Stegostoma tigrinum: one gene and its partners. The protein of the gene in region 3 binds, or shares a complex with, the protein of the main gene of each other region. Links are inferred from orthologs where the notes say so. Each region holds a gene or a part of one and is shown on either strand. Other genes may lie near its edges.

Region 1 (8,536 bases), about 34 Mb from region 3:
TCCTTGTGGCACGCTGCTGGTCTAGAAAAGCAACTCTCCATCACCACCCTCCTCTGCCTTCTAGCCAGTTCTGTATCCAAGTTGCTAGTTCTCCCTCTATTCTGTGTGATCTAACCTTGTTGAATGCCTTACTAAAGTCCAGATGGATTAAGAATTTTATAATTTTCAATTAGATCATCTCTCATCCTTTTAAACTCCAGAAAATACAGGCCCCTTGCTCCCTTCTTCTAGGAGAGTTCCGGCTTTCTAGGGATCTGTCCGGTCAACCACCATTACATTCCCTCAGGTAAGGGGGCCAGAACTGCACAAAGTACTCCAGGTATTGGATTAGAACGAAGCTCTGCAGTCCATATCCAGTTATGAATTGTGGTGGACAATTAAATAAATCAATGGAGGAGGCTCAACAATTATCCCCATCGTCAATTATGGGAGAACCCAGCATATCAGTATAAAAGTGTCGCAACAATCTTCAGCCAGAAGTGCTGAATGAATGATCCATCTCAGCCTCCTCCAAAGCTGTGGCATTGCAGATACCAGACTTCAGCTAATTCAATTTACTCCTCATGATATCAAGTATTGGTTAGAGACAGTAAATGCTGCTAAGCCAATGGGCCCTGACAACTTTCCAGCAACAGTACTTAAGACATGTGCTCCAGAACTTGCCATACAACTAGCACTAACACTAGCATCTACCAAATGCAAATAAGAGATAATCTAACCATTCCCCTTGATATTCAATGGCAATAGATCACTAAATCCCCCACCGTCTACATCCTGGGGGTTACCATTGACCAGAAACTCAACTGGACTAGGCATATAAATACAGTAGCTATAAAAGGTGGTCAGAGGCTAGAAATACTGCAGTGAGTAACTCATCTCCTGACTCCCCAAAGCTTGTTCATTTTCTACAAGGTACAAGTCAGTAGTGTGATGAAATACTCCCCATTTGCCCGGATGAGTGCATCGCCAACAACACTGAAGAAGCTTGACACCACCCAGGACAAAGCAGCAGTTTGAGTGTAACCACATCCACAAACATCCACTCCCTCCAACACTGACACTGAGGAGGACCAGCGTATACTATCTACTAAATTTACTGCGGAAATTCACCAAAGATCCTTATACCGCACCTCCTAAATCCATGTCCACTTCCATCTAGAACAGAAGTTTTCCAAATGTGGAAAGGTGAGAAATGTGCCATGAAATTCTCGGGAAGCAGCACCCCTTCACATAGACTTCTGATACCTTGCATGTGCGGAAGGTGGGATATTCACTTCTTATGAAGCCTGGTTGCACAGGCAGATCCAAACATCTGGTCGGAGCATATGCAATGATTAAGGATTGTATCTCCAAGATGAGAAGAAATTGCATGTCCATAGTAAACAGTCACTTGTGTAATTGTTGAGCTGGACTACCTGCCTAGATATGTTTCCATTTTAGCACAGATTTTGAGGTGAATATGCTTCGAATTTGTTTTAGTTAAGCCACTAGTCCTAGTCTTAGAACACAGTTGAAGATGAAATGGATAATTTGTTGTATGCATTATCTTGCAAACCTGTCTAGTAAGGCTGTAACCAAAGTAAATGCAAGTAAATGTGACATTTATGAGCAATCAATTCAGCTGAAAAAAGTCGGTGTGCCATGGAATTTTTACATGTCTCATTGGAGTGTGCCATGTTATTGCAAGGGTTTGTAATCACTGATCTAGAAGGACAAGGGTAGCAGATACATGGAAACACCATGTGCAGGCTTCCTTTCAAGCCATGTGCCATCCTAACTTGGCAATATATCACCATTTCTTCAGTGTTGCTGAGTCAAATTTCTATACCTCCCTCCCTAACAGCATAATGGGCATATCTATAGCACATGGACTACAACTGTCCATGGCAGCTCAGCACCATCTCCTCAAGGTCTTACTCGGGAAAAGCAACAAATGCTGGTCAAGCCAGTGGCGCCCACATCCCACATGTGAATATTCACCAAGGTTCTATACAATTGTAGAAAGACATTGTAAACCTTGTAGTTAAATGCTGTTGCGATAAAGGCCGACATACCATTTGTTGTCTTAACTGAATTTTGTACCAGTATGTTAGCTTTCAGTAATTTGAATTGAATTGAATTAGCTTTATTGTCACGTACTCAGATAAGTACAGTGAGAAGTTTACAAATCACCACTTACAGTGCCATCTTAGGTACACAGTGCCTTGGTACAATTCTTAACAGAAATGAAGATAAAAAGTTACTTTAAAACTATACACCGTATAACTGTAGGTCAGAAAAACAAGAAGCTATTTAAAAAGACAAAGATCACAGTCTGTCTTCAAGGGCTTTCCACAACAAGAACAGCCAAGTCCTATCTATCCAGATTCTGCCGAGGTACAGAAAAAAAGTATGTACTGAATTGCCACCAGAGTAAAAAAAGGAAATAGGAAGTGCTCCAATGGAATGATTAATGGGACTATGAGGAAGGATATTGAAGGAGTTATTTTAGATTCATCAAAATGTTACCTGGGCTCCCATGGTTAAGAGCACAGATTATACAAACTAGACCTGTATTCCCTGGATTATAGAAAATTTAGGGATGATTTGACGGATTTTTCTTAGAAAGTTTATAAGAGTAGCTTGAGGAAATTGTTTAACAAGCACACAAAACGCTGGCAGAATTGTTCTTAAGAAGTCATATTGGACTCAGAACATTAACTGTTTCTCTCTCCACTCTATCAGACCAGTTGAGTTTCTCCAGCATTCCCTGTGTCTGTTTCTGATTTCCAGCATCTGCAATATTTTGTTTTAATTTGAAAGAAGAACATTTATTCTGCTGGTTTGATAGTCTAGGAGAAGGTGAAATAATGTTAATACATTTCATTTATTGAAATAGGGAGTTCAAGCAATGACTCCAAGATCCTATTCCACTTGGCAAATCAACTCTGTGGACACAAGGGTCACTTGTTACTTTTGTCTTTCCAGTAGGTGTCTTTCCCCACACATGCCCCTTCCCAGGACAGCAGATGTCATTGAGGGCAGGGATGATAATATAAAGATAACAAGGTGTAGAGCTGGATGAACACAGCGGGCCAAGCAGCATCAGAGGAGCAGGAAAGCTGATGTTTCGGGTTGAGACCCAGATTTCTGAAGAAGGGTCTTGACCCAAAACGTCAGCTTTCCTGCAGTGTTCACCCAGCTCTACACCTTGTCATCTCTGATTCTCCAGCATCGGCAGTTCCTACTACCTCATGATAATATTGAAACTTGATAGTTCACATGATATAAGTACACACTTCCTCCCGGATGGTAACTCTTAAGATTACCTCTCATGTTCCAACATACCAAGTTATGCAATTTAAAGTTTTCTCTCTTTGACCACCAAGATGGTAATCCCACGGGATTATGGTTCCCCTGCCAGGAGATAGTGGGTCAGCCTAATTTTAGGGTGTCTTTTCTAGCTCCCCTTCCCTTTTAGGGTGAACAGAAGGTATTCTGAAGGGAATTGTTCAGTCACAGATACTGTTGTCAATGACACCAACATAGGTGCCCAGTGACCTCCATCTCATGACAGCAGATTATTTTTCGTGTTCACAGCCCTGAACCTGTTGCCGAATTTCCATTGCCACAAGGCTTGGAAACCAGATTATGGTTAGCAAAAAACATTTTTGCTATGTTAGTATAGGGATCTTGGGGTGTTACCATTGTCCATGTGATTTTGACTGGTGTTTTTTAAAAGATTAGATTCCCTCCAGTGTGGAAACAGGCCCTTCAGCCTAACAAGTTCACACCACCCCTTGGAACCCACACATCCGTGAACACTACAGGCAATTTAGCATGGCCAATCCACCTAAGCCTGCGCATCTTTGGACTGTGGGAGGAAACCGCACAGAGGCTGGAATCGAACCCGGGTCCCTGGCGCTGTGAGGCTGTAGTGCAAACCACCGAGCCGTTTGTTGTCAGAGTTCAGTGATGTGTTGAACTGCTAACACCAGCACTGTCTCGCATCTGCAGCTTTTTCCACCATTACAATTCGTGTGATTTTTCTTCGCCTGTTCTGCCATAGAGGACGATTGTATCAGAGATAATGGGAACTGCAGATGCTGGAGAATCCAAGATAACAAAGTGTGAGGCTGGAAAAACACAGCAGGACAAGCAGCATCTCAGGAGCACAAAAGCTGACGTTTCGGGCCTAGACCCTTCATCCAGCTCCACACTTTATTATCTGCCATAGAGGACTGTTTGGACCGCACTTTGACGCCTCCGTCCCCAGCCTTGATGCCACGTCCCGACGGCATCGGTCAAAGAATCGGAGTGCAGAAACCTCTCCGCCATGTCAAAGTGACAAACACATCCCTCGGCACAATTTTTTTTAAATAAAAGCTTAGACGGCAAATAGCCACCGTTTATGTTCAAAGAGTCTGCATCTTTAACTGGTCAGATTGACAATCACGGGTTGGCGCCTGTGCTACGAGGAGGAATCGGGGGAACTGAGGAAACGCTGTGGGAAATATATAGAAATGAACAGGAGATGGTGGATTAACTGAGGTACTACAATCAGAAACAAGGACCTTTCTGAACTAAAACGAAGTTACTGGAAATACGCAGCAGGTCTGGCGATGTTGTCGTTTCTTTGCCCACCTCCTGCCTTCCCTGGAAGGCCTTTGGGTCCTAGTTTTCCCCCCAGGTCTGAAGGGAGGTCTCAGTGTGTGTGTCCCTCTCCCACAGGCGCTGCCAGACCTGCTGAGTTTCTCCAGCACCTTTGAAGACTGTTGTCAATCTGAACGTCACCGGGTGCTCTCTTCCTCCTGGTGATGAAATGGGGGTTTCTCCGGTGGGACACTAGGCCCGAGGCCTGGGGCCCGGTGACGGTGACACACTCGGCCCTGGCGGCCCCGGGTGATTGCGGTCACGCGCGTGCTCCCGCCCCTGCCCGTCGAAGCTTCCCTTCCGGGTCAGGGGGTCAGGAGCTGTTTCCGGGCGGAATGGACGCGGACGGACTCCCGTTGGTGGGATCAGGGATCGACCTGACCCGGGTGAGGGGGGAAAGACAGGGGATCCCTGGAGCTGTGCTTTCATCAGCGATAGTTTAAAAGTTAACTGAGAGCCTGTAACCCTTAAATCTTATCCTAACCTTCGACTTCCACCCATAAACCCTAGTCTTAACCTCTAACCGCAGCCTGAGTCCTTCCCCTACCTGACCTATAACCCCTTAAACTCAATTTAACCCTTTAATTCCCAGCCGTAACCCCTTAAACTCAATTTAAACCTTTAATCCCAGCCATAACCACTTAAACTCAATTTAACCCTTTAATTCCCAGCCAAAACCCCTTAAACTCAGTTTAACCTCTTGATCCCAACCCTAACCCCAACCATAACCCCTTAACAATAATCCTAACCCCCTTACATCCAATTTAACCCCTTTATCCCCACCATAACCCCTTAATTTCAACGTAAACCCCTAAACCGCAGCTTTAACACCTAATTCTGTTCTGTGCTGTACTGTTCTATGTTCTATGTTCTAATCCTTACCCACTAACCATAACCTGTAAATCCTAATGTCAGCATGTAATTATAACTTCTAAATACCTGTCAGCATGAATTTACAAAAGGGAAATCATGTTTGACAAATGTACGGGAATTCTTCAACGGATGTGACTAGTAGAGTTGATCAGGGGAGCTGGGATGTGGATTATTTGGATTTTCAGAGCCTTTCCGCAAAGTCCAATATAAGAAATTAATGTGTGAAGCTAAAACACATCAATCTGAGAGTAGTGTATTGAAAATTGGTTAGCAGACAGGAAACAAAGGGTGGAAATAAATGGTGGGATATTGGCAGGGATTGGTACTTGGACCCTCGCAATTCACATTAAATGTTAATGATTTAGATGAGGGAATTAAATGTAATATCTCAAACTTTGCAGATGACACAAAGAGGAAGGGTGAACTGTGAGGAAGATGTCAGAATGTGATTTGGTCAGGCTGTGAGTTGGTAAATGCATGGCAGATCATGTCATGTGGATAAATGTGAAGTTATATGCTTTAGTAGGAAAAATAGGAAGGCAGATTATTACAAGAATGACTAAATTGAGAGAGGAGAATGATCAACAAGCCCTGGGTGACCTTGTTCGCCAGGAGCTGAAAGCAAGCACACAGGTGCAGCAGAAGGTAAAGAAGACAAATGACCCTGTTGGCCTCAAAGCGAGAGGATTTGAGTACAGGAGCAGGAATGTCTCACTCTAGTTATACAGGGCCTTGGTAGGGCAGCATCTGGAATATTGTGTGTAGTTGTGGCCTCAATATCTGAGGGACAATGCAGTTGTTCTAGATATAGTGCAGTCAAGGCTCACTGAATTGATTCCTAGGATGGCAGGAAGATATATTAGGAGAGGTTGAGTCAGTTAGGATTGTATTCATTGGAATTCAGAAAAATGAGGGGGTAGATCTCATTGAAATCTGTAAAATTCAACAGGACTGGATGATTAAATGCTAGAAGGATGTTTCTGTTGTTGGAGTCCAGAACCAAGGGCCATATCTTAAGGATACAAGATAAACCTTTTAGTAGGTTAGGACAAATTTCACCCAGAGAGTGGTGAGCCCGTGGAATTTGCTAGCACAGCAAGTGGAAAACACTGTTTTCAAGAAAGAGGTAGGTAAAGCTCTTGTGGCTAAAAGGGTTAAGGGATGTTAACCATGATCATAATGATTGGCAGAGCAAGCTTGAGAGATCAAATGGTCAATTCCTGCTCCTACATTCTATGTATCTTAATACTTAATCCTTAGTTTTGATCCCGAAACTTTGATATGGATCCCCAACTGCAGCCCCAAACTCAGTCTGCAACTTTAATGTCTAGTCCACAACAAAAGCAGAAGATGGGGGAAAAGCTCAGCAGCTCAGGCAACTTATGTGAAGAAAAAATCAGAGTTAATGTTTTGGGTCTGGTGACCCTTTATTAGAACTGGTCCTGAAACATTAACTCCGATTCTTTTCACAGATACTGCCAGACCTGCTGAACTTTACCAGCAACTTCTGTTTTTGTTCCTGATTTACACCATCCGCAGTTCTTTTGGTTTGTATTTAATATCTAGTCTTTGGCTCAGAAATTGTGGTTTCTTTTAAAATTGTTTTTGAGGTCTAACTTTAGAGTGAATGGGTTTTTGAGCACAGCTAATGGATTTGTGTTTATCTTAGATTGTTTTATGATTAGCAAGATAAATAATGGATCTTCGAGTTTTGTTTGTGACTACTGGAACTTTTAGATTCGGTTTGACTATGAGTGAGGAAGCCCTGTGAAAGTGTTCAATAAGGATGGTGGTTAGGTCCAGTGATTTTGAGAAGGGAAAGTTATCATGAACTAGCTTATCTCAGAGTGAAGAGTCAGTGTCAGTCCCAGACCAGAAGTGTTAGATAAAACCCTGAAGGGATTTCTAAAAGCTGAATATGTATAAATCATAGAACATAGAACATTACAGGCCCTCGATGTTGCGCCAACCTGTCAAACCAATCAGAAGCCCATCTAACCTACACGATTCCATTATCATCCGTACGTTTATCCAATGACCATTTAAATGCCCTTAAACTTGGCGAGTCTGCTACTGCTTCAGGCAGGGCATTCCATTGCCCTTACTACTGTCTGAGTAAAGAACCTACCTCTGACACCTGTTGTATATCTATCTCCTCTCAATTTAAAGCTATGTCCCCTCATGCTAGCCATCACCATCTGAGAAAAAAGGCTCTCACTGTCCACCCTATCGAATCCTCTGATCATCAGGCGTATAATATCTCCAGGAAGAAGTTATAAGACCATAAGACATTTCCTCAGCCAGAGAGTGGTGGGCCTGTGGAATTCATTGCCACGGAGCGCAGTGGAGGCCGGGACATTAAATGTCTTCTAGGCAGAGATCGATAAATTCTTGATCTCGCAAGGAATCAAGGGCTACGGGGAGAGTGCAGGGAAGTGGAGTTGAAATGCCCATCAGCCATGATTAAATGGCAGAGTGGACTTGATGGGCCAGTTCCAATCTGTAAAATGAAGTTACAAATGACTTAAACCTTATGAGATATTAGATACAGCGAGTCTGGTGTGAGTATTGTAGGAGTAGTCTTTTATGTACTGTACCAGGGATGTATTTTCCTTTGGATTTATAAAGGAGTCCTTTGGGATTATACTTTGACTGTGTATTTGAAACTTTGCTTTTGCATTGCAAGTAGATAGTTTAATTCATTCTATTTTTTTGTTAATAAACTTATTGTATATTGTTAAAGTAAAATCTGCGGCATTTGAAACATACGTTTTAGTGACGGGCCAATTCATTAAAACCATAACAGATCAAACGTGATCTAGCAAGCCAGATTTCAGTCTGGAATCTTACTTGTCCATTAAGAATATCATTTGGAGTTGGAACACCATTCATTATTTTTCAAGCTCATATTCCTCAATTTTTGATTTTTTGGTGTGGGTATTTATTTGATACAGGCAGTCCCTGGGTTGCGAATGGCTTCCATTCTGGAAACCATTCACAAGTTGATTTGTCCACAGGTCAGAACACAATG
Region 2 (7,532 bases), on a different chromosome or scaffold from region 3:
AAATCTGGTCCCTTGATTGTGTGATTAATTAGCTCTGTTCATCACTTGCTGTTTATGCAGCTTGGCATACAAGTGTCCTGCTTGGTAGCTTCACCAGTTTGGCACCTCATCTTCAGGTATGCCTGGTGCTGCTCCTGGCATGCCGTCTTGCACTCTCCATTGAACCAGGGTTAGATTCATAGTCACACAGCTCAACATGTCCATGATGCCCAGATTTCCTAAACTAAACTAATTCCATGTGCCCCCACATATCCCATATACCTCTAAATCTTTCCTATTCATGTCACTGTCCAAATGTCTTTAAAATACTATAATTGTACTTGCCTCTACCACTTCCTCTGGCAGCTTCTTCCATATACACACCACTCTCCATGTGAAAAGGTTGCCTCTCGATCGGTTTTAAATCTTTCTTACCTTAAACCTACGCCCTCTGGTTTTGAACTCCCCCAGTCTGGGGGAAAAACAACCTTTGTTATTCATCTTGTCTATGCCCCTCATGATTTTATAAACTTCTATAAGATAATGGCTCAGCCTTCAATGCTCCACGAAAAAGTGCCAGCTTATCCAACCTTTCCTTATAACTCAAACCTTGCAGTTTCAGTAACATTTTCAGAAATCTTCTTCACACTCTTTCCATTTTTATGACATCCTTTCTATAGCAAGGTGATCAAAATTGTATGCAGTACTCAAAGTGTGGCCACATTAATGCCTTGTACAACTGTAGTATGACATCCCAATTCTTGCACTCAATGCTCTGACCAATGAAGGCAAGCGTGCCAAATGCCTTCTTCACACCCTGTCTACCTGTGATGCCATTTTCAAGGAACTATGTCTCTGCACCCCAAGGTCTCCCTGTTTAACAACACTGCCCAGAGCCTTTCTATTAACTGTGTAGGTCCTGCCTGGTTTGTCTTACCAGAATATAACATCTCACATTTATCTAAATTAAACTCCATCTGCCATTCTTTGGCCCACTGGCTGAGTTAAGCAAGATCCCATTGTTCTGTTTGATCATCTTCTTCACTGTCCACTATACCACCAATTTTGGCATTATCTGCAAAGTTACTAACTATGCCTCCTACATTCTCATCCAAAATGTGTATATAAATGATGAACAACAGTGCACCCAGCGCTGCTCTTTGCGGCACACCAGTGTTCACAGGCCTCCAGTCTGAACAACAGCCCTCTGCCACCAACCTCTACCTCTTTCTGTTGAGCCAGTTTTGTATCCAATTGGTTAACTCTCGCCTGAATCTTTTGTGATATAACCTTCTTAACCAGTCTATGATGTGAAACCAGGTCAAAGGTCTTGCTAAGGTCCACATAAACCACATCTACCACTCTGCCTTCATCTATCTTCTTGGTCACCTCTTCAAAAAACCCAATCAAGGCCCTGAGGCTTGGTCACCTGGCCTGATAGTATTGGTTGAGTGGGGAATATGCTGGGCCAGGAGGTTGCAGATTATGCTGAAGTACAATTTCTGTTGCTGTCGATGGCTCACAGCACCTCTTCAATTGCCCAGTTTTGAACTGATAAATCTGTTCAAAGTCTGTCTCATTTAGCACAATGATAGTGCGACACAACACGAAGGAGATTTTTCTCATTGTGAAGTAAGGACTTTGTCTCCACAATGAATGTTCAGTGGACACTCTTACTAATACTGCTATGGACAAATGCATCTGCAGCGAGTAGATTGGTAAGGATGAGTTTAAATATATTTTTGTTTGTTTATTTAAGGGGTGAGAGCATTGCTGGCCAGGCCATCATTTATTGGCCATCCCAGAGGGCAGCCATATTGCTGTCTGTCTAGAGTCACGTGTAGACCAGAGCAGGTAAGGATTGCAGTTTCCTTCCCTAAAACATAGTTTTTTTTCCAACAATCAGCAAGGATTCATAAATTCATTAGATGCTTAATTCCAGATTGGCCAGGGCAGAATTCAAAACCTGAGTCCCCAGAGCATTACTTGGGTCTCTGGATTAACAGTCCAGCTATAATACCACTAGGCTGTTGCCTCCCTAATTTTACAGTAAGTTTTTTGCTCTTTTTGGTTCTCTCACCACTTTCTGCAGACCCAGTATAACAGCTGTATCCTTTAGAACCCAAGCAGCATTGTGGACTCTATCTGCAGCACATGGACTGCAGCAGTACGAGAAGACGTCATCTTTTCAAGAGCAACTAGGAAGGGCAATAAATGCTCATAAGCCAGTGATGCCCCCATCCCACAAATGAATAAAAAACAAGCTTAACCAGAGTGCAGGTGCCAAGCCACCCTTGGGGGTGTACGTTGAAATCACCCATATTTTGCGCCCATGCTAGCCTCAGTGCTTCCTCCAAGTGTTGTTCAACAATGAGGAGTACTGATTCATCAGCTGAGGGAGGACAGTACCTGGTAACCAACAGGAGGTTTCCTTGCTAATGTTTAACCTGAAGCCAAGAGATTTCATGGGGTCTGCAGTCAATGTTGAGGGGACCCAGAAAAACTCCTTCCCTATTGCATGCCACTGTGCCACCACCTGTCCTACCAGTGGGACAGGACACGTCCAAAGATGGTGATGGGATTGTTCTAAGAAGACAGTGACGTCTTCTAAGGGTCACTGGATGTGAAACATTAACTCTGCTCTCTCTCCACAGATGATGCCAGGCCTACGGAGTGTTTCTAGCATTTTCTGTTTTTATTTTGTTCATGATGTTGATGTCCAGGATATTGTCTTATGATATATGATTCAATGAGTATGATTAGGTCAGGCTGCTGCTTGACTAGGCTGTGAGACAACACTCCCAATTTTGGCATTAGGCTAAAATGTTAGTAAGGAGAACTTTGCCGGGTTTACAGGGCTGTTTCTGTTGTTGTCTATTCCAGTGCCTCAGTCAATGCCATGTGGTCCAGCCAGTTTCATTTCTTTGTTGAGACTTTGCAGTGACTGATACAACAGAGTGGCTTGCTCGGCCATTTCAGAGAGCAGTTGAGAGTGAACCACATTGCTGTGGTTCTGGGGTCACATGTCGGTGACACCAGGTGAGAATGGCAGATTTCCTTCCCTGACGGACATTAGTGAGCCAAATAGTTTTTTCTGACAATCGACAATGGCTTCATGGTCATCAGTAGATTCTTCATTGCAGGATAATTTTCAGATTTCAAAATGCTGTACGTGCTTATAGTTCACCAATCATATTCACTAGTATTCGCAAATGGTGGAATAAGCTTAGAGTCAGCACAGGCATCATGGCCCAAAGGGTCTTTAACTACGTTTAAAGCATGATTGAACATTGCATTTATATAGTACCTCTCAGAAATACTGGACATCTCAAACAGCAAATGAAGCAGTTTTATAATCAGGTTTTTAATTCCTAACCGAATCCGGCCTCCTGCCCCAACACATTCACACAGAGATAAAAGCAGAAAGTGCTAAAAAGAAATTGAGCAGATCCTAAAGTATCTGTGGAGGGAGAAACACAGTTCAGGTTTCAAGTTAGTTTTGATTTAAGTTCACAGGCCAGAAAATTAATTGGGGAAACCAAGCGGAGGCTTGGGGACCGCTTTGCAGAACACCTCCGCTCAGTTCGCAACAAACAACTGCACCTCCCAGTCGCAAACCATTTCCACTCCCCCTCCCATTCTCTTGATGACATGTCCATCATGGGCCTCCTGCACTGCCACAATGATGCCACCCGAAGGTTGCAGGAACAGCAACTCATATTCCGCCTGGGAACCCTGCAGCCATATGGTATCAATGTGGACTTCACCAGTTTCAAAATCTCCCCTTCCCCCACTGCATCCCTAAACCAGCCCAGTTCATCCCCTCCCCCCACTGCACCACACAACCAGCCCAGCTCTCCCCCCCCACCCACTGCATCCCAAAACCAGTCCAACCTGTCTCTGCCTCCCTAACCGGTTCTTCCTCTCACCCATCCCTTCCTCCCACCCCCAGCTACCTACTAACCTCATCCCACCTCCTTGACCTGTCCGTCTTCCCTGGACTGACCTATCCCCTCCCTACCTCCCCACCTACACCCTCTCCACCTATCTTCTTTGCTCTCCATCTTCGGTCCGCCTCCCCCTCTCTCCCTATTTATTCCAGTTCCCTCCCCCCATCCCCCTCTCTGATGAAGGGTCTAGGCCCGAAACGTCAGCTTTTGTGCTCCTGAGATGCTGCTTGGCCTGCTGTGTTCATCCAGCCTCACATTTTATTATCTTGGAATCTCCAGCATCTGCAGTTCCCATTATCTCAGAAAATTAAGCCTGTTACCTTTCACCTGAAAACTACATCTCCCAGAGGGCATTGGGGCTGAGCGCTGGCGCAGTGCGTGCAGTTGCGGGACTTGCCTGGGTCTGGTCACGGGATGTAAAGATGGCGTTGGATGTTCAGGCCCGGGACTGGGAGTTTGACCGCTTCGATGAAGGATCCCAGAGTGAGTTTCGAGCTGTGCTTCAGGCCCGGGCTTTGCTATGGGGAAAGAAAAGCCTTCTTTCCCAGAGAAATACTCTCTTCTAATTTCCATTTCTCATCTATCCCCGCCCCCCGGCCAATCTGCCCCCTCCCACCATAGAAGGGACTCTTCTTCTTTCCACTATTCTCTTCCCCCCAAGCCTTGGGCTGTCAGTTTCCCCTAAATCATCAGCATCTAATGATCTTAACCATTGATCCGATTCGGTACAGTGAACATTGTTTGCAGCAGTTCCTAACGCTGGAATGTAATCTGTGGTCTACTGTGTCTCAGTGCAGTCTGTTAAGTGGTTAGACAAGCGGGAGTCTGGAAGAACACAGCAGGCCAGGCAGCATTTGGAGGAAAGGAACAGTCAACGTTTCGGATATTGCCCTTCCTCGGTCTGTTAATTGATGGGTGCATCATAATAGAGATCATTTGGTATAATGAGTTCTTCATAGCTCTCTTAGAGCAAACCTGTCAGTTCTATTTTCTTGTTTTATCCTTGTAACCCCACAAATCTATTTCCCTTTAACAGAGTTTCCATTTGTCTTTTGAAATCATTAACTGTATCAGTTTCCAATACCCTCATTAGTAGAGTTTCTTGCCCTTTGAATCTCCTATGCAAAATCTTCAATCTGTGCACTGTTGTCCTTGTGCAATCAAATAATGGAAATACCTGAGTTTTATCTAAACCTGGCATTCTACATCTGTTAGACATCCCATGATCTCTTTTGCTTCAACGAGGCAAACCACCAGATTCTCCAGCTAGGATTAAAGATCCAGTGATTGATTCTGTTAAATCTTTACTGCACCCTTCTGTGGGCCCTCATGTTCTTCTGCAGGCACTGTGACCAAAATTAGATGTAGTGCTCCAGTTTAGGTCTTTTGAGTTCAAAATAATGTTTGGAACCTTTTTATTATAATAAATATGAACACTGCATGTCAGAGGTATTTGGCATAAGCAGTAGTATGTATGTTTGGTAGAAATATAAGTAACATGACAAAATGGTGTTTACTTAGTTGTTACCATCTGTTCCTATTGACATCTTCTTTGGACTTGTTGGTTGGCGTTTGCTATATTCTTCTTGCCCTGTGTGTCTGTTGACTATTATCTTCTCTTAATTGTGTTGAGGATCAGGACACTTCTTGTACCCTTTTATGTCTAGCCTGGTGCTACATTAAGTTTCTGATGATTTTACCATTGACTTCACCAACCTGATTACTTTATGATAATTTCATTATTACCCATTAGTATCTCCAAGGTTTTGGAGTAGATTTGCAGCTCGGGTTGTGGGTGTTGCGGTTGGTTGGCTCGCTGAGCTGGTTTGTTGCTCCGTAGACGTTTCATTACCCTACTGGGTAACATCGTCAGTGCAACCTCCGATGAAGTGTTGGTGTGTTTTCCCGCCTGGTTTTTAAACTCTGGAGTCCATTGAGCTGGATTGCCTTACTTCAGGTTTTCCTTTGTAGTGGAGTATATATGGGGTCAAGTTCTGTGTGTTAATTGATGGCTTTCTTCGTGGAGTACCAGGCTTCTAGGAATTCCCACACCTGTCTCTGCTTAGTTTGTCCCAGGATTTTGATGTTCTTCCAGTTGAAAGTGGATTGAGATGAGTGAGTATTTGTCATGTCTTTTAGTAGCCACTTGGTGTTCGTATACTCTTGTTGTTAGTTTCCTTCCTGTTTGTCCAATATAGTGTTTCTCACAGTCTCTGCAGGGGATCTTCTAGATGACATTGGTCCTGTCCATGACCATGGATGATATTACCCAGCAGGGTAACGAAACATCTGAGGAACAACTAACCAGCTCAGCGATACAACCAACCTCAATACCCATTAGTATTTCATTAAGTTACATGTTGCTTGCACACTGCCATTTGTTTATTGCGTAGGAGATTTTTTTTAACGTAGTCAACACAACGTAGTAGTTCTTATCTTTGATGTCTTGTTATGGAGATCGACAAACAAAAATATTTCTCTAAATGTGAGTTTGCTCGCTGAGCTGGAAGGTTAGTTTTCAGACGTTTCATCACCAAACATCATCAGTGAGCCTCCGACGAAGCGCTGGTGTTATGTCCCGCTTTCTATTTACATAACACCAGCGCTTCGTCGGAGGCTCACTGGTGATGTTTGGTGATGAAACGTCTGAAAACTAACCTTCCAGCTCAGCGAGCAAACTCACATCCAGAACCTCAACCTGAGCTACAAATCTTCTCAAAACTTGATATTTCTCTCAGCTTGCAATTAGCCAAACCCTGATCTGAGCTTTTACAACAGTTTGACATCCACCTTCCACTTGTTTCTCAGCATTTTCAGAATTCATATTTCCACACTAGCATATAGCCCAGCGGTTTATAAAGATTTATAAGGATTTACTACAAGTTCCCTGCTTTTGTACCCAATTTGTCTACTTCCTAAAGCTCATGATGTATACTTTCCTAATTGCTGTTTGTACTGTCATCTTCAAGGATCTATGCAGATGAGTTGCCAGTTCCCTCTGTTTCTGCATGCCCTTAATAACTGTGGCATTAATACTGTATTATATCTATATATCAAACAAAAATTGGCTGTAGTACTGACTTTCCAGTCTATAAACAACTTAACCATAGCACCCGTTTTTTTAATCTACCCTGACACTGATCCTCATTTTATGAACCTCAGTTTTATTACCCAGCCTGTTTAACGTAGTATGATGTCAAACTTTTCTAAACATCACTTTGGCAATGTTCTTTGCTTTCCCTTCATCCTGTCTCATGACTTCAGGGTAAGAAGGCCTATTAGTCAACTACATCCTGCCTTTTAAAATCCAAGTGGGTTCTTCTAAATTAATTTGCACCTCTTCAAGTCCCCATTCTAATTGCTTTCATTTTTTCTAAATTTTACCTACCTCTAATATTAAACTGACCAGCTTTTAGTTACTAGGAATGTCCTTGCAGTATTTCTTGAATGATGTTGTCATACTTGCCCCTCTCCAAAATGCAGAATTTTGCCTGTTATTTCCAACTCTACCTTCAAGGAATTGAGTTAAATAAAGTCCAAGCATTCAGCCAAAGATAACATGGAAAATTGATGAGTGAATCCCACTTATTGCTTTTCGCTTAA
Region 3 (8,525 bases):
CGGGCTGTGTTCATCCAGCTTCACACTTTATTATCTTGGATTCTCCAGCATCTGCAGTTCCCATTATCTCTGATACTTTTTTTATGTCTCACTTTGTTTATTAGGGCCAGTTATTAGGTAAAATGTTCCCGTGATTATACCATTAGGAATGAATCAGGATTCCAATTTTCAGCTCTGACTGGTTTTCCTCAGGGCAGGACCCTACCAACAATAATGGACCATTGTCAGAAGGTCATTAATGAGGAATCATTTCACAAACCTAAATCTACTGAATTGAACCACCACTTGCATATGCTACCCCACCCACACCACCCCGACCCCCCACCATCCCCGCATCCCCTTCAATCGACATCTTCCCTTTCACCATCAAGCGAATGAAAAGATGGCTTATGGTTGAGCAATAAAAAAATAGGCAAGTTGGTAAAGTGACAAAAAGAAGAACAAAATGTATATGCTTTAACTAAAGAAACTCCACAAAGTTAACCTCAGCAATGGGGCCAATTTGAGACCAAAATGGAGATTTATACAGTGAAGCAAAGGCTTGACTTAGGATCTAAATGTAATATTAAATTAACATTTTGTATCTGTCTTTACCTATAACAAGGTAGAAAATGCTGTGCTGGCCATGATGACAGAGGAGGAAACTCAGTCACTAGAAGGATTTAAACTTGATAATGAAGTGGTATTGGACAGGCTGCCTGTACTTACAGTTGAAAAGGTAACAGGACAAGGTTAGATGCTTCTGTGGATACTTACCGAAGTAAGAATGGAAATTTCAGAGGTACTAGTATTAATTTTTCAGTCTTCATCAGACCTAAAGATGTTAGCAGAGGACTGCAGAATTGCAAACACTATACTTTTGTACAAAAAGAGATATAAGGATAATTCAAGCTGCTACAAACTAGCCAGCTTAACTCCTAAGTTTGGGAAGCTCCTGGAAACAATAATGATGGACAGAATTAACAGTCACATAGGACAAATGCAGACTGATTGAGGAGAGCCTGCATGGATTTCTGAAAAGAATATTATTTTTAACCAACTTATTGGAGTTTTTTTTTAAAGAGGTAATGGCATGGGTGGATGACCATGTGATGTACACGCACTTCCAGAAGGATACGATATCACACAACAAGCTTATGAGCAAAGTTAGAACTCGTGGAATAAAATGGACATTAGCAACCTGAATCAAATCAGCAGAGTGACAGGAAGCAGAGAGTACAGTAATGGTTAATAGATAATAGATGGGCTAGGAAATAACTTGTAATGGAGTTTCCCAAGCATCAGAGTTGGAATGCTTTAATTTCCTAACATTTACAAACAATCTGGACCTTGGTGTGATGGGGACGATTTCAAAATCTACCCATGAGACAAGCAGTTTAAATTGTGAGGACAGCATGCAACTTCAAAAGGGTATGGGCAAGTTGGTGGAGTGGCCAGAAAGAAGGCAGCTAACCTTCACTATGGAGAAGTGTGATGTGACACATTTTGAATAATAAAGATAATGGAGAAACAATATAAAATACAGGGCACAACTGTAAAGTGGGAGCAGAAGCTCAGGAATCTGTGTGCACATACAAATAAATCATTAGAATTTGCAGGACAGGCTGAGGGCCTGGTGAACAATGCGTACAGTATATCAAGTGTTATTTATAAGGATGTAGACTATGAGAGCAGCACTGTTACATTGAACCTATATAAGTCACTAAACATTGTTGAAAGGATACACAAAGATGAAGCTTTTTGCATTCATCAGAACCACGACACAGAAAAAGACTTGAGCCAGGGGACAGAGACAAGACAGTGTGGGATAACAAAGTGCGGAGCTGGGTGAACACAGCAGGTAAAAGGGTCTTGACCTGAAGCATCATTTTTCCTGCCCCTCCAATGCTGCCTGGCCTGCTGTGTTCCTCCAGCTCCATGCTGTGTGCTCTCTGACTCCAGCAGTTGCAGTTCTTGCTTTCTCTGATTGAACCAGGATACACTATTTATACAGCATGCAAAGAGGGTGCTGGTTGGTTTTCTGGTAGATATGCATGCCCTTGTCCACGAACCTGTTGTTTAAAAGAGGATGGAGTTATCTTTGGGGCCCAGTCAACAGTTATCCCTTAGTCAATATTAAAGTAAAAACAGCTTACCTGGTCAGTATCATATTGCTGTTTGTGGCAGCTTCCTGAGCACATATTGGCTGCTGCATTTCCTGCAGTAAATAGTGACCACTTCAAAAAGCATTCAAAGTTATAAAGTGCTTTGAGGTGCCTTCTGGTCATGACTGTTACTTAAATGCAAATAATATGGGACATTTGAAGGAGTAGTCTATAGGCCTCTTGACAGTAGCTATACATTGGAACACAGAACAAATCAGGAGATAATGAGGGCATGTTAAAAAGGCAGTATGTTAATCATGAGTGACTTTAATCTTCATGTCGATTGGGATAGTCAGATTGGCAGACGCAACCACAGAAAAAGCTTATATGGCATATTTAGGACAGTTTGCTGGAGCAATGTATTGTGGATCCAACCAGGCATCAGGCTTTTTTGGTCTGGTTATTGTCAAAAAGGCAGGTTTAATAAATGATGTCAAAGTAAAAGGTCCCCTTGGAAAAGGTCCCATATCATGGCAGAATTTAACATTCAGTTTGAGAGGGAGGAACTTGGGTTAAAAACAACTGAACTGAACTTAAATAAGGGCAATTTAAAAGAATGGGGGCAAGCTGGCTTGATTGAACTGAGAAAAGAGTCAAACAGAAGAGGCGAGTGAGCAACAAGAGCAGATGTTAAAGAAAATAGTTCATGGTTCATGACAAAGATACATCTAAGTGTGGATGAAAGTCTCTAGGAATGAGATAAGCCCAATCTTGCCTAACCAAGGAAGCTAAGGATAGCATCAAACTGAAAGGAAAAACATACAACATGGCACCACTTAGTGATCAGCCAGGGGATTGGGAATAAAAAGTAAAGGTGGAGAAGATAAACTTTGAGTGTAAACTTGCTTGTAATATCAAATGGGCAGCAAGAGCATCTCTAAATATATGAAAAGGAAGGGACATGCCAAAGTTAACATTGACCCTTTGGAGAATGAGGCTGAAGAAATAACAATAGGCAACCAGATGAGAAGGGTTGAATAGGTACTTGCATCAGTCTTCATGACAGAAGGCATGAATAACATTCCAAAATTACTAAATTAGCAAGGGGGAAAGGGGGAGAGGAAATAAATACACTAAATATGACAAGAAAAATAGCAAGAAAACTAATGGGGCTAAAGATCAACAAGTCACTTGGACCTGATGGGAGACATCCTAGGATATTAAAAGAAGTAGCTACAGGAATAGTGGTCACACAGGTAGCAATCTTCCAAGAAACCTTAGATTCTGGAAAAGTCCCAGAGGATTGGGAAACTGCCATTGGAACAGCTTAACTTAAAATGAGAATGAGGCAAAAATGGGTAACTATAGGCTAGTTAGCTTGTAACATGACTTTGGAAGAAAGAATAGTGGAGCTGAATATTAGTGAAATGGTGAAAGAAGACAGGAAGCTACAGAACGGAGGAATTTGGGATTTCTAGAGCATAAATCAGAATAATACAGCATCTAAGTTCAGTAGGTAATCAGGAAGATAAATGGAATGATGGCCTTTATTTCAAAGGTAATCGAATATAAAAATAGGGAACTCTTGCTAAAACAACTGTCATCAGACAACAGTTGAGGAATATTGTAACTATTTTTGGGCTCCTTATATAAGAAAGCATATATTTGCATTGGAGGCTGTCAAGTGAACAGATGCCGGCTACAGAGGGCCTGTCTTGAGGAGAGGCTGAGTTGGCCTGTACTCATTGGAGTTTAGAAGAATGATAGGCAACCTTATTGCAACATACAAGATTCTTTAGGGATTAAACAAGCATAGAAGGTTGCTTCCCCTACTAAAAGAGTCCAAGGCCAGAGGACATAATCTTAAAGTATGGCTTCTCCCAGTTAGGATGAAGATGAGAAATTTATTCTCTCAAGGGGTATTCTATCAATCTGTGGAATTCTTTACCTTTGGCTATTGAGGCTGGAGGATTAACTACATTCGAAGCTTAGACAGTCAGATTTTTAATTAGTAAGGGAATCAAGGGCTATGGGGAGAAGGCAGGAAAGTGGAGTTGAGAATTATCGGATCAGCCAAGATGTCATTTAATGGCAGAGCAGTTTGCATGAACTGAATGGCCTATTTCTGCTCCTCTGACTTTTGGTTTTAGTGTTATTCTACCCAGTTTGCAGTTCGAGTGTGCAATCACAGGGAATAACTGAAAAGACAACCACATAATCATCCATGAGAGAGACACAGGGTCTAACTTCGTAAAATTAAATGAAGTGCTATTACTTCTTTACTGAAGTACTTTACAAGATAATGTATGGCTAAGAAAGGGTGGACGCTGGGAAGTCATTTCCGTTAGGCAGGGAGACTAGGATCCGTGGGCACAGCCTCAGAATTAGAGGAGGTAAATTTAAAACGGAAATGAGGAGACATTTCTTCAGCCAGAGAGTGGTGGGCCTGTGGAATTCATTGCCACGGAGCGCAGTGGAAGCCGGGACGTTGGATGTCTTCAAAGTGGAGATTGATAAATTCTTGATCTCACAAGGAATTAAGGGCTACGGGGAGATTGCAGGGAAGTGGAGTTGAAATGCGAAGCAGCCATGATTTAAATGGCAGAGTGGACTTGACAGGCCGAATAGCCTTACTTCCACTCCTATGTCTTATGGTCTTATGGCTATTAGTGTGCAGGATATAAACACACCAGGTTTTGTCTTGTTGGATAACAAGATGTAGAGCTGCACAAACACAGCAAGCCAAGCAGCATCAGTGGATCAGGGAGGCTGATGTTTCGGGCCTAGACCCATTTTGTCTTGCGGCGCAGTAATAACGTCACCACCTCTGAGCCAAAGGATTTTCATTCAATGTTGATGACAAGGAATCACAAACATCCGGGGGCGGAGCTTGCGGTGGTGGGTGGGGTTTGTTCGTGGTTGGGCGGGGTTTATTTGTGTGTTGCTGGGCTGGGCTGAGCTGGTTGGGCCCGTGCTGGAGAAAATATGCATGCGCCTATGTCGTAGCAATGCGCAAGCGTAGATGCCTGCTTGTGGTCGTTAGAGCTCGAAACTTTGTGTTATGAAGTAGGATGTTTGTGTTTGAATAGTGAAGAATGAAAATGTGATGATAGAGTATTAGAAGACGGCGTTGGCGTTAATTAATTAGTTTTTTTATTCGGGAGAGTCCAGCAAGTAATGGTTAGTATGCACATGCGCAAACCTCGGGTGTGAAGTACGCATGCGTGGGCACAGGCCTCCTGACAAGGAAAATGCAACAGTTTGTTCCTTTAAATGGAAACTGCTTTCATCGTCGACAGCGATTGGGATGAGTTTTACATCATCTACGGAGACTGGAACACAGCTTCAGTCATCTACAGATACTGGGGTGAGAGCGAGCTGTTTACAGTTTCAATCATCTACCGGATACCAGTAACCCCTGGCGTTCATGGACGTTAAGCACTTCTTTCTGACCAACACATCCGCTGTCTATTTCCTCAATCTCAAGTATCGTGAAAACACTTTCAGTTGTCGCTAAGTGGTGATGTTATTAAGCCAGAACTTTCAAAAGTTGATTGGGCGCAGACGTTCACAGATAAAAGGACAGCTGTAAATGGGAAGCCTTCACAATTTAGGTAATGGGAGTCTAGGGAAAGTAGGTTCTTGTTGGAGTGAAGGGCAAGGCTGGTTGATGTAGGGAATGCTGGTTGATTGGAGAAATTGAGATTCTGATTATGAAAAAGAAGGAAGCATTTATCAGGTACAGACAGCAGGCATTAAGTGAGTCCCTAGAGGAATGTAAAAGCAGTAGAATTATACTTGAGGGAAATCGTGAGGGCAAAAAGAGGACATAGCTTTGGCAAGCAGGGTTATGGAGAATGCATAGCATTTCTACAAACACATTACAGACAAAAGAGTAACTAGAGAGCAAATGGGCTTCTTAAAGATCAGCAATGTTTTGTGTGGAACTGCAGATGGGTGAGATACTGAACAAGAATTTTGCCAGAAGTCACTTGACACTGGGTTATAGTCCAACAGGTTTATTTGAAATCACAAGCTTTCAGAGTGTTGCTCCTTTGTCAGGTAAAGTGGAGGGAAGCACACAAGCACAGAATTTATAAGGAGGTAATTAAGAGTATCAAAAGATAAATACAAGTAGTGTAAGTGAAGGGATGACCTATGATCTGATTGATAATTACAAAAAAATCAAAATTAGGATAGTGCTGGAGACAAACTAAATGACTGGAATAACATGATAGATATAAGACTTGCATTGCAAGGGTTTAACCAGGGTAACAATTAATCCAAAATTGTATAAATTAATTAAGGTTGAGATCATAACAAGTTATCAAGGTGATGGTGCCAAAACAGAATGGTAAGGAAGATTATACACAGATTAGAATGGTAGGATTACATGTAGTGCAACATGAACCCAAGATCATGATTGAGGTTGTCCTCATGGTTGAGGAACTTGGATATTGGTTTCTACTCTGACTCTGCATTGTTATGTACATTGAAGGCTGCTTTGGAGGACATTTACCTGAAGTTTTTTTATTCTTGTGGGATGTGGATGTTGCTGGCTGGCCAGCATTTCTTGCCTGTCCCTGGTTGCCCTTGAGAAGGTGGTGGTGAGCTGCCTTTTTGAACTGCTGCAGTCCTCCTGCTGTGGGTTGACCCGCAATGCTATTAGGGAGGGAATTCCAGGTTTTTGACTGAGTGACAGTGAAGGAACGGTGATATATTTCCAACTCAGGATGGTGAGTGACTTGGATGTGATGGTGTTCCCATATATCTTCTGCCTATGCCCTTTTAGATGGGAACTGGTCTTGGAAGATGCTGTCTGAGTATCTTTGAAGATCAGAGGCTGAGTGTGTCCTTGATTATTTTGTATCAATGTTTACTGTGGAGAAGGATGTGGAAGCTAGAGAACGTGTGGAAACTGTCCATATTACGGAGGAGGTGCTCCTGGATGCCTGAAAATGCGTAAAGGTGGATAAATATTAGGGATAGATCAGGTGTATCCTAGAAATTTGTGGGAAGCTAGGGAAGTTATTTGCTGAACCCCTTGCTGAGATGTTTGTACCATTAATAGCCACGGATGTGGTGCCAGAAGACTGGAAGTTGGCTAACGTTGCGCTAGTGTTTAAGAAAGGCAGCAAGGAAAAGCCAGGGACCTATACATTAGTGAGCCTGACAACAGTGGTGGGCAAGTTGTTGGAGGGGGTTCTGAGGGATAGGATTTACATGTATTTGGAAAAGCAAGGACTAATTTAAGATAATCAGCATGGCTTTGTGTGTGGGGAAATTGTGTCTTACTAACTTGATGAAGCTTGAAGAGGATGAATGAAGCCAGACTGGTGGACATTGACCATCTTACTGAAGTCCATATAAACAATGAGATTCCGCGTGGTAGACTAATAACAAGGTTAGGTCATGTGGAATACAGTGAGAACTGGCTATTTGGATACAAAATTGTCTCAAAGGCAGGAGACAGAGGGTGGTGGTGGATGGTTGCTTTTTAGACTGGAGGCCTGTGACTAGCAGTGTGCCGCAGGAATTGATGCTGGGCCCAATGCTTTTTGTCATTTATACAAATGATTTGGATGTGAACCTAGGAGGTATAGTTAGTAAATTTTCAGATGACACCAAAATTGCTGTAGTGGACAGTAAAGGTTACCTCAGAGTACAACAGAACCTTGATCAAATGAGCTAAAGGGTGGCAGATATATTTTAAGTTTGACAAAGGTGAGGTGCTGTGCTTTGGAAAGGCATATCAGGGCAGGACTTGTACATCTTAATGGTAGGGTCCTGGGGAATGTTGCTAAACATATAGACCTTGGGATGCAGGATTGTAGTCCCTTGAAAGTGGAGTTGCAGACAGACAGGGTACTGAAGAGCGCAGTTGGTTCACTCGACACTATTGGTCAGTGCATTGAGTACGGGAGTTTGGAGGTCATGTGGCTGTACAGGACATTGGTTAGGCCTCTTCTGGAACACTGTATTCAATTCTGGTCTCCCTGCTGTAGGAAAGATGTTGTTACATTTGAAAGGGTTCAGAAAAGATTTAAAATGCTGTTGCCTGTGTTGGAGGGTTTGAGCTGTAGGGAGAGGCTGAAAAGGCCGAAGCTATTTTCCCTGAAGCGTTGGAGGCTGAGAGGTGACCTTGGAAGTTTAGAAAATCATGAGGACCATGGATAAGGTGAATAGTCAAGGCCTTTTCCCCAGTGTAGGGGTGTCCAAAACTAGAGGACATAAGTTTAAGGTGAGAAGGGAAAGATTTAAAAGGGCCCTGAGGGGCAGTTGGACCGAAGGGTCTGTTTCCCTGCTATGTGTATCTCTGACTGTAAAAGTAACATGCATTAGTAGAAACAATAAAATGTATTGTTTTGAAAACAGTAAGTATCTCGTTTTTAATTAGATTCAGATCTTCTATAAAACTTGAGCTGTGGCCTAAGTGAGGAG

What was found.
Region 1: wash1 (region 3) and washc3 share a complex: the UniProt entries of both Homo sapiens proteins name them as parts of the WASH core complex. The link is inferred for Stegostoma tigrinum from reciprocal best matches to the Homo sapiens genes WASHC1 and WASHC3.
Region 2: wash1 (region 3) and washc4 share a complex: the UniProt entries of both Homo sapiens proteins name them as parts of the WASH core complex. The link is inferred for Stegostoma tigrinum from reciprocal best matches to the Homo sapiens genes WASHC1 and WASHC4.

What each region holds. Positions count from the first base shown.
Region 1 is NC_081371.1:60,014,855-60,023,390, reverse strand, and holds the start of washc3 (WASH complex subunit 3), read left to right. Parts: upstream 1-4,923; 5' UTR 4,924-4,967; coding exon 4,968-5,018; intron 5,019-8,536. UniProt on the Homo sapiens protein: Acts as a component of the WASH core complex that functions as a nucleation-promoting factor (NPF) at the surface of endosomes, where it recruits and activates the Arp2/3 complex to induce actin polymerization, playing a key role in the fission of tubules that serve as transport intermediates during endosome sorting.
Region 2 is NC_081378.1:53,491,461-53,498,992, reverse strand, and holds the start of washc4 (WASH complex subunit 4), read left to right. Parts: upstream 1-4,324; 5' UTR 4,325-4,351; coding exon 4,352-4,412; intron 4,413-7,532. UniProt on the Homo sapiens protein: Acts as a component of the WASH core complex that functions as a nucleation-promoting factor (NPF) at the surface of endosomes, where it recruits and activates the Arp2/3 complex to induce actin polymerization, playing a key role in the fission of tubules that serve as transport intermediates during endosome sorting.
Region 3 is NC_081371.1:25,518,941-25,527,465, reverse strand, and holds the start of wash1 (WASH complex subunit 1), read left to right. Parts: upstream 1-5,032; 5' UTR 5,033-5,264; intron 5,265-5,270; exon of another isoform or gene 5,271-5,451; intron 5,452-8,525. UniProt on the Homo sapiens protein: Acts as a component of the WASH core complex that functions as a nucleation-promoting factor (NPF) at the surface of endosomes, where it recruits and activates the Arp2/3 complex to induce actin polymerization, playing a key role in the fission of tubules that serve as transport intermediates during endosome sorting.